2 linked regions of the Lepisosteus oculatus genome follow. The protein of the gene in region 2 binds, or shares a complex with, the protein of the main gene of each other region. Links are inferred from orthologs where the notes say so. Each region holds a gene or a part of one and is shown on either strand. Other genes may lie near its edges. The genes, in order: adat2 and adat3.

Region 1 (8,291 bases), on a different chromosome or scaffold from region 2:
ATAATAATAATAATGTGTCCGAATAATTACATTAGATCTACAATGCAGTGGGAAAGAATAAACTATTTATTATTTTACATTCTGTAAACACTACTTAATAAACTGCTACAATGGTAGAATACCTGCAATACGCTGATTGCATTGTTGCTTTTTTTAATTCTTGTTGCTCTTCCTAGATGTGTCAACAGACCTGACACTACAAAAATAGCGTTATAAGTGTGATGCATGCAGCTTGGCACCCCTGCTGGGATCTGATCAGACCTTTCATAGGCATCTGGCTTCAGGACCACTGAGTGTCACTTTGCCAGACAGTAAAGAATCATGCAGCCTCCCTCCACAGGTAGGTTTAATGCTATACAGGTCTAAAGGGGATAACATTGCATTATGTAACAGGTTCAGTGATAAACAAGCCCTCTCATCCAAGCATATTACACAGTATGTGGGGTTGAGAAACATCTGTAGCAACACAAATTTGTGAAAGGGTACCAAAGGACAAATCAATCCAGTGCTGTGTTCTCGACATGCCTTAGGTCCATACCGGAGGCTCTGCTTCACAAAAGAATACCTACCGTTCCATTCTTGCTGACAGAGTTATCTAGGTATATGTAACCCCCAATGATGTTGAGCTGAACTCGTAGAAGAATAACCAGCATGCAGGTGCTGTAAACGGCTACTATGCTTCTAGCGAAACCTGGCAGAGAGTGGGAAAAGGAAATTAACCCCAGACTGTCAAACTCAATCGGGGAATAAGTGTCATTTCAGATTTTAAGGAATCGAAGGCAGACAGAAAAAAACCCTTCTAGTGCTGTAGGCTACAGCACGCCTGCTCAGTACAGCCAACGACAAGCCCAGTCATTCAGCCTCAGTGCTTAGCTGAGGAGCTCATGGTGTGAAGCTACCATCTGTGGCATTATAACCGAACAATTCTAATTCAGAACCCCCCTTAAAAAGTCATTCAACATTCCTTAACTTTGTACTAATAACAACAAAAGCTACAATTTAAAGTAAAATCTTCTGTATGTTACTGTCCACACCCCAACCTGTTTTACCAAGATGGGCCAAACAGAGTCCTCTCATGTAATGTAGCATTAGCATTCTTCAGAAACAGAATATGTAACTCTTTGTACAATCGTGTAGGAGCAGTAAAATTCAGTAATTGTACAATACTTACAACATAATAATAATACCCAGTATTAAATAGAAAGAATGGAACTTACTGATTATCTTCAGATCTTCCCAGATTTCTAACTTATTTGCTGGCCTAAAACAGAAAACAATAGCTTTTTATCATCTGCATGACAAGAACATTGTCAGCCCTGTTATGCGCTTTACTCATTTTTAAACAAAATGACACATCTTGAATTACTCACTTGTTCTTTAGCAAAGCTGTGAGGCTTTCTGAATGCAGGTGTTGTATAATGGCATCTCTTAGAGTTGGGAGCATTGATAACACTGACAACAAAAAAAGACAAAGCAATATGGTAACAACGTGGAAAGCAAATGTATTTTCCTGGGAAAAATCTTATGCCAAATTTCCCAGGGTCACAAACCTTGGCTAGACTAATATTCCTCTTAAAAATATACATAGTAATAATTCTTATATAGTGCTTTCAATATAAAAAAATTACAAATCACATCAAGAACATAAGAACATAATGATCCAAGAATCTCATCCAGTTGTTTCTTGAAAAAAAAAAAAAAAAGTATTGACTTCAACCACATGGCTGGATAACCATGTTACCATACTCCAAAAACCCTGGATGTAAAGAACTGCTTGTTGTTATTAGTTTTAAATGCACTTTCATGCAGTTACCACTTATGTCTTCCAGTCCATGTTTCACTGCTCTTTCAGAAAACAAAATCCACTGAGTTGACTTTTGTCAGTGCCTTTGAGGATTTTGAATAATTGTTGATACTCCCCTAGTCTTTTCTGTGCTAGTGTGGTGTATTTCCTTAAGCCCTGGAACGTACCTAGTTGCTCTTCTCTGGACGGATTCCAGAGCAGCTATATCTTTTCTACAGCATGGTGACAAAAAAATGTACACAATATTCTAAATGTAGGCTTACTAGTGTGTACAGAATATGGGGTACTTGCCCTACTGGTGTGTTAACACAGTTTAGACATTAAGTTTAGGATGGAGGGACTGTGGAAGCCTAGATAAAATTTAGCCAGAGCATCAGGGCGAGCAACTCTAGTCTTATGAACATCTTTAATGTTTCAAGGATGGCACATACTGTACAACAGCACAGTGTCCCCTGTCCCCTTACCAGAGCGCTGCAAATTCTGGTCAACAGGGAGGTGAGAGTGCCATCTAGTGGCCCACCCACAGCACTTAGAGCAGTAACCTGCTGTACAACCTACTGTGGTCAGCTTTAGAGCTGAGGTTCCCAGCTCTGCCTGGGGAACACTCTCTCTTCTTGTTTCTACTACATTCCAGTCCTTAATCATAGTGTCCCTGCTTGAGGAATTCTGGACCAGCGACACAGATAATAATGGATCAAAATCCGTGACAGTACAGGTCAGAAGATGAGCACCATTCCCGGTAAAGCACTACTCTGGAGGCACTGATTTATTTATAAATTTGCTTTCAAATCTTTTTAAAGGCCACATAGGATTGGGAATTGATACCAGTGCAGCACCAGTTCCTGGGTTTCACAACTGCCTGCTTTCCGGTGCGTTATCTGAGAGGAGCCAACTAAAGAAGGAAATGCAGCTAACCGTGAGAGTGGCTGCTGATCAGAAACTGACTGCATGTTAAGTGCTGTTTCGACAGAAATAAGGCTCAGCAAGGTGAGGAGAGGCAGCTTAACATTCTGTCTGCTGAAGATACTGCAGATACTCAGCACTGGAGATGTCGAGCTCAGATGGAATGAAAGCCCTGACTTTGAAGTCTTTCAGCCTGGTTCTGAGTAAGCCTGGCCGTGCTTAGCTTCTGAGATCAGGCTAGAAGTTTGTAACTCTGCTGTTATGCGCGTCAGTTAGTCTTCGTAATTTGAATGCACAGCAATTGAGAACGTGTGCTTTGATCAGGTTTGTACGTTAATTGGTTCAGCTGAGGCACTGTGGTTGTTGAGAACTACAAGGACACATTGTAGATAAGGATGCATTGGGATATTCATTTTTTTCATTTATGTTTACTACACTACCTAACCAAACAAATCACCTGCTTAAGTGGTCAAAACAAATTTGTCCTATGTTCACCACAGCTCAATACACTGTGAGCAAGTACAAGCAGTACAAGCATGGGTAGTTCCCATGGAGTTGAGAATTGCTAACATAGGGCCCATTGTTTAAAAACAGAACCAAGTAATTACAGACCAATAAGTCTGACCTTTATTGCATATGAAGTTAGTTAAAAAAAATCTTACTAAATTAGACAACCACTTACATGGGAAAATAATTACAGATAGTCTAGAAAATTAGTTTTTTCTTTGCTAACTCGTTAGAGATAGTTGAATAATGAACAAAAGTAATCTACACACACAGAGAATATCATAGAATATTTATGCTGTCAGGTTTTTTATCCATAAGTTACCCATTAATGTTTAATTTTCAAATTATAGGTAGTAGGCATTCTGTGAAATGTGTGTATTTGCATTGAGAACTGGTTAATAGAAAACAGAGAGGGAGTAAATGATAGGGAGTAAAGGCTAAAATTGGGGTGATGCAATTATAACACTATAGGGTCTGTACTAGGAATACAGCTCTTCCAAAGTTATATCATCTATCTAGTTTCTGTATAGTGAGTAAACTGATCAGGTTTGCAGATGCAACCAAAGTAGTACGGTTTGCAAATACTAGATAAGCAAATATAATTAAAATAAGATTCAGATAAAAAACAAAACTGGGCAAATATCTGGCAGGTGATATATAATGTAGACAAGTGCAGAATACTACCTGCGCATAGTAAAAATCTCAACTCGAAATACAAAAAGAGAAATGCTGAGTTAGAAGAGATTACTTCTGGCAGAAGACTGAAGTGTTTATGTAGACATCAATTACATCATCTAGGTAAGCGATAAAAAAGCATCAAAATATAAGAATAAATAATTAAAAGTAGGATTTGAATCAAAGCATGTTATGTTAAAACTACACAATGAACTAGTAAGGCTTAATTTTGAATATTATGTACAGTTTTGGTCAAGACATTACAAAAGAGATACTGCTGCTCTTGAATCCGTCCAGAGAAGAGCAACCAGATCCATTCTGGGGCTTACGGGAGTGTCCTACACTGACAGACTAAAAGAGCTTAACTTTTTTAGTCTTGAGCAGAAAAGACTACAAGGGGACTTGATCCTAGTACTCAGTCGCCAAATCACTGACAAAGCAACCCCAGTGGATTTCTTCAGAATCAACAAACAGACGGCACAAGTGGAAACTACGAGGAAGTATAAAACAAAAAACAGGAGGCACTTTTCCCCCAAAAGGTTGATGGAAACAAGCTAGCCAACCACACTGTTGAAGCTATTACCCCGGCTTCTTTCAAGAAATGGGTGGATATTATCCTCAGTTCAATCTCTCACCATACTGGCTGGAAGGGGCAAATGGCTTCCTTTCACTGGTAACCTTTCTTGTGTTATTTCTGTATACTATTGATACATATTAGATATTATTATATATTCAAATTTGAAGAAAAAAACGTTGAAGGATAACTGTGTGTAGCAGAGACACGGGATATTAGAATTAAGCTTAATCTTTGCTTATGTTTCTGGTGATGTGATGCAGGCATGTTGACGTTACCTGTCATGTTACACGTTCTTTGGTTACTTTCGAAGTGATACTGACGTCGGGCTTGCGCAATGTACTCTGCTGCTTCTCTCTCCTGAATTTCTCTGATTTTCCTCTGCGCATATTTACCCAGTAGGTAAACCCCTTCGAAAAAGAGAAAGAAAATAAATTAAATTGTACTGTATGTTATTGTCATCACTTAACTGACTTTATCACTGTTACTGTAACCTATATAATACAGATTTAACAGTACGCTAATGTAATACTTGCTTTTCCATCTTTGCAATTCACAACAGGCTTTGTCGACACCTGAAGAGCAAACTACTGTTGTCACCTCAGCAGGCATGACTTCTCGACACCTTCAGATACGGGGTGCTACATTATGATCAACTTTATGGGATACTAAGTACCTTTACCCTCGATATTACTGACGCTGCTAGTGGCGTAATGTGAATGACTAAAATGCAAATTTAAGACAACACGATACATGAAAATATTTACCTCCGACTAAAGCCCCTGCAAATATAAATTTTCTTTTATGACGTTTAAGGAAACTCCACGTGGACATAAACATTTCCTCCGACTTGAGGCAGATGCCAGACTACAGGTTTTTTCCGCGTTGACAGATTTATTTTCACAATCGTACATGAGAACTAGATAAGCTAAACACCGCTTACAACGCTCTGTACATCGGTGATCATCTAGCAATGCCTGCCCCACAAACAGTATCTACCCCCTGTGAAACTGCGACGAAACACAGGGTTCCGGTTTTATAGTAAGTAATGTGTAATGTGAAATACTGTTTCTCTCTTGGTTTTCATTTTTCTCCAATATACAGTTGAATGGTTCATTTACCACACTTCAAACACTTCGAGTTTATTAAAGTTTGACGTGTTAAATACATCTAAATGTATTATATATAAAGAAAAGTGTGTTAAAATTACGTGATTTCGTTTTAGTCGGTCGAAGTACTAACTGAATAAAACCTTTAAATATTTTCACCGTGCTTTTAAAATTGTTTTAGGTAAATCTGTTTTTAATAACAAACGTTAAACAACAACAGAGAGTCACTTTTATCAAATCTTGATAAAAACTGGATGCGTTTATCTCCTCACATTATACAGTATTAGTCTTTGGAGCCATTGACATGCCTTGTGTTTGATGTGTACTTCCAACTCACAGTTTTAACCCATTTAAGATTATTTCTACTCGATATTTTGTTAACCTTTTCAGAGTTTTTGTGTGTCAAACCTTTAGGGTAATCCATGATGGGGACGGAATATGAAGAAAGTTTTCCGGGCGAGAAAAGTACTAACCACTTTCAGCCCTCTTCGGAAGAAATACAGGGCTGGATGCAGAGAGCTTTCGATATGGTAAGAACGGTATTTATAGTACAGTATGCTCGCAATGCGTGTTTATCTGTTGTCTAAATAACTACTCAAACATCAATGGGCATAGTGTGAAAATATTTAATGTAATGTGATACAGCATGTTTGCTTTCTACAGTATAGTTTGTGCAATTTGATTTTTTCCTGGAACAAATTGTCTGTAAGAGATGGATTATTCCCTATCACTGTAGCCAAGAATGAAACAATAGAAGTCTGTATTTTTGTCTGAATTGGGGCAAGATGAACTGGTAGCAAGGAAAAAACAAACAAACTTTATAGCTCTTTCAATTTATAGCTCAAGATTTAAATTAATTGGAAACAATATCCAGGGTGGCTCTGTGGTTAGCATTGCTGCCCTGCAGTTCTAGGACCCCGGGCTCCTTGCTAGACCTGGAGTTCTCCCCTTGTTACTGTGAGTTTTCTTTCTGGTGCTCCAGTTTCCTCTCACAGACAAAGACCTACCCATAGATTAATTGGCTTCTGGCACAGTTGGCCCACGATATGAGTGTGTGTGTGTGTGTGTGTGTGTGTGTGTGTGTGTGTGTGTGTGTGCCTGGTGTCCTTGTCCTGGAGGTGTTCTTCCTTGTACCCACTGCCTACCAGGATAGGCTCTGGCTCCCTCACAACCCTGAATTGGACAACGCATTTAGAAAATGGATTGATGGATGGAAACAAGACCCTGACCCTTTGTTTTTGCAATTTTCCAGTCTAAAGAAGCCTTAGAGAATGGAGAGGTGCCTGTGGGATGTCTCATGGTGTACAACAATGAGATTTTGGGAAAAGGGAGAAATGAAGTCAACGAAACAAAAAACGTAAGTTCCACTTCCCATCCTCTAGGCTCATCCAGGCATTGATGCACATAATTTAAAAGTACTAGAGTGGAGAAGACAACTTGTCTGCTGTAGGATTATTTGTACTTGTAGCTCTTCACTGAGGATCAGTTTTTTTGTACTGCTGTTTTATGTCGTAAGAAAAATCATAGTTCTATTTCAGTGATATGCCTGTATATTCAGAAAATGGCAAATGGAAGTCATATGAGATTGGCGTAGGAACTCTGTGAGGCTCAAAGCTGAAATCTCCTGTGTTACTGGACTGGGATTTACATACATTTTGCCAGTGCGTCCAGTTAACATACACCTGTTAACATGAGAAAAGAAAGTTAATTAACTATTTGAAACTTAGAAACAAGATAGGGCTCTAGTAGTCCATTCACCTGTTTTTCCTTTGTGTGTTGCAGGCAACACGGCATGCAGAGATGGTAGCGTTGGACCAGGTACTGGAGTGGTGTCGTGACAATGGCAGGGATTCCAGAGAGGTGTTGGACCAGACTGTCCTGTATGTCACTGTGGAGCCGTGCATTATGTGTGCGGGAGCACTTCGTTTATTGAGTATCCTGCCCGACGCCTTTGAGTAACTCTTAAGTCTAGTCCAATCCAGACTGTTGTGATACACATCCCGCAAAATGCAAAAATTTACCACAATGATCCGGCTTAAAGTGAAACTGCTGATCCTTTATTCAAACAAAGGGATGGCTTCCTTTACTATTTAAGAATCCCTGCAAAAGTTATTCTCTGAGGACTATTATTTGTTATATCATTATTAAAGGAAGAAGAAAATCAAGTGTACTGAATGAAACTGTTTAGCGTTATGCTACATTATTAAGTTTATACGATATATTAAAACATTTGTGACTGCCTATAGACAGGTTATATTTTGCAGACATGCAGGAATTATCACATGAATTAAAGAAACTCATCTATAATATTACTGGTGGGAGACCAATTTACTTTTTTTGCAAGATTAGATGTTAAAAAAGGGTAGGAATTGCAGACCTTCAGTATTCCTTAATTTCACAAGTGGCACAACACCTAGTAAATTATACAGCAAATGGGAGATTTAAGAATACTTTTTTTTAGAGGGATTTGATAAGATTTAACTATAGTAGTTGTGTATACTAGTTGTGATAATACAGAAGAAAAAATAAAAGAGAAAATACATCATTTCTTAATTAAATTGTTAATATAGAGAATACAGACATTTTTGTTCCAGAAAAGTTTTAATGGCCTTAACATTTTAACAGAAATCCCACTAGTGGTTTATGGTTGCAAAAATGAGAGGTTTGGTGGCTGTGGGTCAGTGCTCAACATCCCTGAAGATGAATTACCACACACTGG
Region 2 (7,931 bases):
ATGTCAGGGACTTTGTAAGAGGCAAATGCATTACTGCACTTACATGTGCATTACTAACTTAAATGACTATTTAACGCTGGATTTCTTTAAAGAACTGGGCAGGCCCCGTTCTTAGACTTGAAGCATTTTCATGAAGTGTAGTGTTTGTTGCTTGGGGTCTTTGCCCACTGCATCCAGAATGGTGCTGGTACTGAAGAGTCCATTCAGATTAATCTTTGAGAGAGGCACTCTGCCCACAAGCCACGGAAAATATACTTTTTACAGATCATTTGTTCATTTGAATAAGGGCCTGTGATTCAACTTAAGATGATGCTGTTTTTATTTAATGTTGTTACTTTGCTCATTAGGGCTTAAATTATGGAGGAAACAATTTGTTTTGCATGTTTTTTTTTTCCACTGACTGAATTGTCTGTACACATTGTTAGAAAATTTAAAAAAATACATTTTCTGTCTACAGAACAATGTAAGCAAATTTTTAGTTTTGTGTAAGACTATAAGTTTCAATTCTTAAGGGTGAACTTGGATTCAAGATTTCTTTTAAAGCACTGTTCTTTCAGAAGACTTTAACTGAAAATGTTGTATTTTTGAAACTTATGTGGCTGTATGTTTGTAAGACATGTTTATGGACCTTTTTAAAGCTCTTCGTTATTGCTGAGGCAGCTAGCCCTTGCAGGTCTGCTCATCCAAGGTGTTCTTGGAGCTTTTCAACAGCCTGTTTACTTATGACAATAAAATCATTTGTGCCCTTCAAGAAATTAGTGTATTTCTTTGTTTATGGTAAAGCTCTGCTGAATATGGACTCATTACATAAAATATGGCATCCAAAGAAGTATGGTTATGAATAATTTTATTTTTGTAAAGAGGCATCAGTCTCAGGCACTTTGGTTTGTTCTGTTAAGAGTCACTATACATTTAAGAACAGCCTCTTTCTAAGATTACTTAGAAAAGAAAACTTAGACAGAAATAGACAAACTGTTTTACTATTCACTGGATAAAACAAAATAAGTAACAGTTAAAAAAAGATTTTAGTTCTAAATAACTCATTATTCTAAGAGACAAAAAAGAAACATGCACATTCATACATTTGAAAAAGAATATAACTTCAATTGGGTCCATACCAAAGGGCTTAAAAATGAGTTTCTAAAAAATGTTTCATCTTTAAAAAATACAGTGACTTCACAGCAGTAACACATCCTACCTAGCAAACTTACACCTGTTTTTTGTGCATCTGCATCTCTCTATATGATTTAACAGAAATGTGAAAGTTGTTAACTCAAATCTAGCACAGAATTGGTTACAATGTCTCCAAAACCAAATCCATATCCAGTGAGTCTACTGGAACATGATTTAATTGATGCAATGTAGTGAGCTTTACACAATCCTGTTCCATAATTCCTTTAAAAACTTCAAAACGGTGATTCAGATCTTTCTGGGTATGAATTTTGTATTTGGTTCCTAACGCTCCATCTAATGATGCAGTTCCATAGAAGACCCTCTGTATTCTAGAGTGAACCAGAGCCATTGCACACATTACACATGGTTCTCTTGTTACATACAGATCATAACCAGTGCAAATATATGGCAACCCACTCTCCTTTGACTGCTCTGAGATATACATGTCCTTGGAGGGCAGACAGCTACTTTTAGCCTGATCTTTCGAGTTATCTACTTTAAAGAAACAACAGGCAGTGTACTTATCATAACTATAAGCCCCACCACCTTGGCCATGTGCCACAAGGTCAATGCATACCATAACAGCATGAAGCAAAGGGTGAGGACTATTCCTGCAGTCATGGCCCACAGCAAGGACTCTCTCCTCCTCCGGATCAACAACAACAGCACCTACAGCTTCCATGCCTTCTCCTTGTCCGATTTTTGCTGCTGTAATAGCCAACTTCATGTACGTCTCCATCTTTGTTTTCTGAGCAGCAGTAAACAGCTCCCCATTCAGTGCCACTGTAACCTGTTTGTCTTCATGGAAGGAAGTGGGCCAGTGCCTGCTGGCTTTTTCAAACTGAGGTCTAGTCAAAGGAGGACATGCTGGTATTTTCACTATAAATGGTTCACCTAAACCCCTGCTGTCCACAGTGGCATTAGACAAAAGAGCAGAGATAGACAGCTCTTGGTTTTTTCGACTGTGTCCAATATCTCTCGCCAGACACAAAATCATTTCCAAAGGATGTGGGCTTTCTTTGTCTTTGCATGCACGTACCCTCTTAATATGGTTCAGGCCTTGTAAGGGGTATATGGCACTCAGCTCCTTCACAAGACGAGAGGTTTCTCTCTTATCAAGAATAGGCACAGCATAGGCTTCCAGTAAATCAATGTCTTGGGACTGCTCATCAGAAAGAACAGGTAAGATGGCCCAGGCCATCACTTCACCTTCTGTTTTTCTGCGTTTGCACTGTGGTTCCATTAAAACCTGTCAAAACAAGGGATGCTTAAACTCTTAAGAAGCAGAAATGCAAAATGTTGGGCAAGGAAGCAGTACATTATGCTGAGAGTTTGCTGACTTTCTTCCTTTATAAAATCCCGATATGAATATCTACAATCTGCCAAAGGAATTTTCTTTACATGTAGACCAATTTCACGACTGAGTCATGGACAAAGCCCATTTTTGCCTTAAATTTAAAAACAACACAACTGGGCTTATCATATTGTATATTTATGTTTATGTAAATGGTAATATATACTGATGTCCTAAAAAATATCTAAAATGCTGCATTTTACAAATTTATGTTTAGTTCAAATCACGGGATCCTTTTTCTAAACTTCAGCAAATGTTATTTTAACAACGAATAAAACCTCATATTTTGTCATTACCGTCTTTCTCCTATATAGTTCCTGTACTACGTAGACACTAAAAATTAAACTTCTATAAAATAATTTCACGTAAGACAAAAATACTTATAATGTACCATAAGACCCAGTATAAGTTTATAAATATGCACATACAAAATATTTAGTCTTAACGTCTTCAAATCTCAACTAAATCTAAAACGTTTTTTATTACAAATTCAATTAACACAAACATTATATTAAGTCTAAAGGGTTATAAACAAGTTTCAATTTAAATAATAAAATGTAATATGCAATTGCTGTTCAGATGCTCCTACGAAGTACGAGTTTAAAAATTGTTTGTAGAAGCTTTTTTCAGTTTTACCATTAACTTACCTATATACACCCTAAAAACAAAAAGCAATACCGAAACGGATTCAACACAGAAAATCAAAAAAAGAGGTCATAATTTCAAAAAGTAGATGTATTTTATGGCTACAATCCCTTTCACGTTCTCACTGTTGCACGTGTATAATGTGCCCTTCCGGCAACAATTGGTACACATCTTTGGTTCCTGTATAGTATTAATTTTCCGCTCCTAACTTTCGGATGATTTTTAGTTAAAAAAGAACCTATCATAAAATTACGTCGGATGGTCAATATATTTATTTGAAAATTCTAAAAACAGTACAGGCAACGCAAATGGAACGCGCATTTCGGTGTTTGTTTCTAATGGGAAATATTTACACGGGGGACTAATTGCCGCTGGACGCATGAGAGGTTGTGAGAATTAATGGAATTAAGGATCGGAGAAAAGAAATAGTCACGGTCGTATTAAAATAATGAGTAGCGTATGTTATATTATATAACTCATGTCACTGTTATCTTGTTTCGGTGCACGATTGTGTGGCTTGGCTTTTCAAAGAGCTACTGTTACTGAACCTCATCAATGGAAACTAAAAGAAGTGCTTTCTTGGGCTTCATACAGAACTACATGTATTCGTACGGTTAGCCACCATCGAGTCGTTTTAGGTGTAGAAACCAGCTGTGATGACACAGGAGCCGCCGTGATGGATGAGACCGGTTCAGTCCTCGGAGAATCTTTATATTCTCAGAAAGAAGTGCATTTGAAGTAGGTGCATCACCTTATTCTGACCTTGAAACAATTGACACAGGCTGTCAACTGAACAATTTCTCATTTCAAAAGTTGCCTAAAGAAGGGATTTTACCCATCTATTACCAATAGAATTACACATAAAAACAAAAAAATTCTTCATAAAATATGATAAAATATTAATGAAAACAATAATTTCCACTATAATTTGTATGTAATGTTTTTCTATTTAAACTAAGCTTATATATAAACCATTACCAATTCTCAACTCTTGCATAGAGCACTGCTTGCTTGTATGCCTAACTTTTCTGGTTCTCCTTTTTCTCACTTTTTGCAGCTCACTTCCTGCACGTCATACTCAAGTGGCATCACATATAAAATCCGTCTTCTGTTCCCCATTACATTCATTTTCTAACTGCTTCTTGTAATCCAGGGTCACAGGGGAGCCTGACCCTATCCAGGCAAGCAACAAACACAACACATGGTACATCCTGGACGAGATGCCAGTCCAATGGACAGACACAAACACACACATGTACATTAGTGTCAATATTCACAGAATCCAATTAACCCATCAGTATTGTAAGGAAACTGGATCACCTACAGGGAAACATACAAACTCCACATAGATAGCACCACAGGTCCAGAATTGGATCCAGGGTCCCAGCACTGCGAGGCAGCAATGCTAACCTCTCCTCCACTGTGTTGTCCTTGTCTCCACTCATTCCCTTTGTTTTATTGCACTTCTGTTTCTCTGCTCTATGACCCTTCCTGCTAATAACCTCAGAAATGATTTCCTGACATCCAGTGCACTACAGTTACACCAGGTACTGTACCCACCAGACCTAGTGGTCTTAATAATTTCTGACACACATCAGCTTTGCCTTTTCTTGTGAAATATTAGAACATGCTCTTGCAGTGCAACTGGTGGTCTCACTGTACATTTTACAAACTGTTTCAGTCTGGATTTAAAAAAAACTATATACACTAGCATTGAAACTGTTCTTGTTAAATATTCTTATTCTTTCTTCATGGCTATTGATTTTGGATGGTCTTTATTCTTTTAGACGTAGCGGATTAATTCTTTCCTTGATAAGCTTTGAATTTTTCTCTTGGTGGTTTTAGGTCTCGTGTTTGGTTGGTTAGTCTGGTGTTACACAGGAATTGAAATGAAGTAGAATTAGAAATGAGCCATTTCCTGTTTAATATTTATATGCTTACTCTAAGTTAAACATTAAAATTACATGGTTTGAATTATCATTTCTATGCAGAATATAATTCATTTTATGTCCAGACTAATCCTGATACCAAGTTTCAGTACTCTCCAATTACATTTCTGTAATAAATGTTTAGATGCAACAAAATGTTTTGCATCATAATTGTGAAAAGACAGAGGTCATTGTTCCCATCAGGTACATAAAACCAGTGCTGTAACAATTGTCAGTTGACAGCACTGTGCTTGAGTTTCACGCAAGATTTTGATGGGGATCCTTAATTCTGGATGGACTTTGAGACCTCATGGGCAGAATACTGTATAAATGTCTGTTTTTTTTTAGAAAAATTCCCAGGCTACTTTCTGTGTGTGTCTGTAACTGGTTTATGTGTTTGTACATGCAAAGATTGGAGTATTGCAAAGCCTTGCACGGAAGAGTCTCTATACCTACAAGGATATGACAGCATATTTGGAAATAACTATGTCACACATGTGCACATCACACAAGTATGGTTTTAAAATCCAGGTTTCAAGATGATTGTAAAATTCTTCTTACTCACAATCAAGGATGTACATGGTATAACTAGTCAGCATCTAGCCAATATGTTATCTGTTCACTCCCCTCAACGCAACCTTCACTCATGAGATTCTGGTTTACTGGGTGTTTCTATTGTTCGTCTACACTCTGTGGGTGACAGGACCTTCTATGGCTCCTAAGCTCTGGACCACTATCTTAAAAGACATCAGTGACTGTCCCACATTGGGTGCTTTTTAATCCAGCCTGAAAACCAACTTTTATAGAAACACATTTTGTGATGTTTTATGCTTTTTTGCCAATTTTTGTAAAGTGCTTTGAGATGATTACTTTTATAGGTTCTATATAATATCATTTTATTCTTACTATGTAACTACATATACACCATAACAAAACTTTGTAAATCAGAATTTTTTTAAATACAAATTCACCTTCCCCCTCATTTCTTACTTCAGATTTCCTTTCTGTATTAAATATGGTTTACAGGTCAAAACTGTGGTGTAACAATATGTGCAATAGTAATAGTGGTGTCATTTGTATGCATGTGTATATTTTGCTTTAGAACAGGTGGGATCATTCCAACAGTGGCCCAACGACTGCACAGGGAACACATAACGACAGTGATCCAGCAGGCCTTGGCCATGAGTGGAGTTACACCAAACGAGCTATCTGCTGTTGCAACCACAGTAAAACCGGGTCTAGCACTGAGCCTCGGGGTGGGCCTGGAGTACAGTCTGAAATTCGTACAGCAGTATAAAAAGCCATTCATCCCAATCCACCACATGGAAGCCCATGCACTGACTGTCAGAATGATTCACTCTGTCCAGTTCCCATTCCTCGTGCTCCTGGTGTCTGGGGGTCACTGTCTACTGGCAGTGGCTAATGGAATCGATGACTTTCTTCTCCTGGGACAATCACTGGATGAAGCGCCAGGAGACACTTTAGATAAAGTACGTAAAAATTTTGAATGTGCTCTCAGAAAGGGTCTGTTGAGGATTTTTTGAGCATTGTGTAAGTGGTTTCAAAACTGTAAGTCCACTTACCTGCACTGATAAACAGCTCAAATATTTCCAAAGAATGCAGTATTAATGGCAAATATAAAGAACATTCATCTTTTCCTTTGTGAGGGGTCTGTCTGGATGTTCTCCATTGCAGTTTTTCTATGTTATTGGAAAGAAGATGAAGCATCGGTGGCCCCTGTACATTACTGTCGTGAACAAATATTTGTACTTAAGAAATTCATATTTTGCTTCAGCATGAGCAAGTTGCAAAGGAAAAGGTAAAGGTTTATTCCATGCTGAAGGGAAAATAAAAGAGCATATTTATTTATACAATAGTAGAAGTACACAGAACAATATCTGTATGTTTTTTCAGATGTGTTTTTTCTTTTGTCTGTTTTGGTAATGTTTATACCCTGACTCTATTCCTATATACATTGCTGAAACATTCATAAATTATTCACTAAACTGAATAACCCAGTTGTCATTGACAGGTAGCAAGAAGACTATCCCTCATTAAACACCCAGAGTGCTCCACTTTAAGTGGTGGCCAGGCCATTGAGCATTTAGCTAAACAAGGCGACAGGCTAAAGTTTTACTTGAAGTCACCCATGGGCCAACATTTGGACTGCAACTTTTCCTTTGCTGGTCTTCGGAACCAAGTGACTCAGGTCATTATCAAAAAGGAAGAGGGGGAAGGTAAGCAAGCTTTTCTTTGTGGTAAACCTGAGATTTCTCCAGTTTGTGAAAAATTTCTAGTTTATGCCACCTCTTAGTTGAATTAGTAACAGGAGTGGTTACTCCTGCTGTGGACTACATCCTATTTGAAAAGCAGAACAAGGCTTCGGTCCCTGAAGGGTGTTAAACAGATGTGCCTTTATTGCAGGTGTACAAATGGGTCAGATGTTGTCCTGTGCTAATGACATTGCTGCTGCAGTGCAGCACACTGTGGCTTCCCATATCGCAAAGCGCACCCATCGTGCGATACTGTTCTGTAAAGCCAAGGGACTGTTGCCCCAAAACAGCCCCACTCTGGTGAGTTTGTGGAATATATTTATTATAAAGAAGAACAGAGCTAGGTATGTTCAAAGAACAACAAGTAATAATAAATTGGGGGTTCAGCAATTAAAAAAATCATAGGTGTCCTACAAAGAAGACTATATTTTGTCTTCTTAGCAGTACTTTGTATAGACGGTGTCTAAAAGCAATGAGTGTGTTTAGTTAAAAGCTCTTCATAAAAAATGTGCATTATTTGTTCATTCCTGTTAAGGTGTAACAAATATTCTCTTTGAA

What was found.
Region 1: the proteins of adat3 (region 2) and adat2 are in contact, whole or in part, in a crystal structure (PDB 9HMM), measured with the Mus musculus proteins. The link is inferred for Lepisosteus oculatus from reciprocal best matches to the Homo sapiens genes ADAT3 and ADAT2. Residues at the interface, in NP_001094076.1 of Mus musculus: Val217, Ala218, Pro220, Leu221, His223, Ile229, Asp230, Ala233, Gln236, Gly237, Glu270, Ser272, Pro274, Val276, Val290, Met291, Met294, Ala295, His298, Ala299, Pro311, Asp312, Leu318, Phe319, Val321, Arg324, Asp326, Leu327, Asn328, Pro349; in NP_080024.3 of Mus musculus: Val62, Asn63, Lys66, Asn67, Ala68, Thr69, His71, Met74, Ile77, Leu81, His85, Pro91, Cys107, Ile108, Met109, Ala112, Ala113, Leu116, Met117, Arg130, Phe131, Val137, Leu138, Ile140, Asp144, Leu145, Pro146, Asn147, Thr148.

What each region holds. Positions count from the first base shown.
Region 1 is NC_090697.1:18,898,204-18,906,494, forward strand, and holds the start of adat2 (tRNA-specific adenosine deaminase 2), read left to right. Parts: upstream 1-5,079; 5' UTR 5,080-5,101; intron 5,102-5,230; coding exon of another isoform or gene 5,231-5,303; exon of another isoform or gene 5,304-5,316; intron 5,317-5,413; exon of another isoform or gene 5,414-5,504; intron 5,505-5,962; exon of another isoform or gene 5,963-5,980; coding exon of another isoform or gene 5,981-5,994; coding exon 5,995-6,102; intron 6,103-6,824; coding exon 6,825-6,929; intron 6,930-7,354; coding exon 7,355-7,505; intron 7,506-8,197; coding exon 8,198-8,291. Other genes in the region: pex3 (peroxisomal biogenesis factor 3), read right to left, coding at 570-691, 1,218-1,261, 1,371-1,452, 4,742-4,873, 5,000-5,075. UniProt on the Homo sapiens protein: Probably participates in deamination of adenosine-34 to inosine in many tRNAs.
Region 2 is NC_090707.1:20,772,566-20,780,496, reverse strand, and holds adat3 (probable inactive tRNA-specific adenosine deaminase-like protein 3), read right to left. Parts: upstream 3,329-7,931; 5' UTR 3,175-3,328; intron 2,423-3,174; 5' UTR 2,417-2,422; coding exon 1,295-2,416; 3' UTR 831-1,294; downstream 1-830. Other genes in the region: osgepl1 (tRNA N6-adenosine threonylcarbamoyltransferase, mitochondrial), read left to right, coding at 3,651-3,910, 6,203-6,590, 7,133-7,337, 7,525-7,673.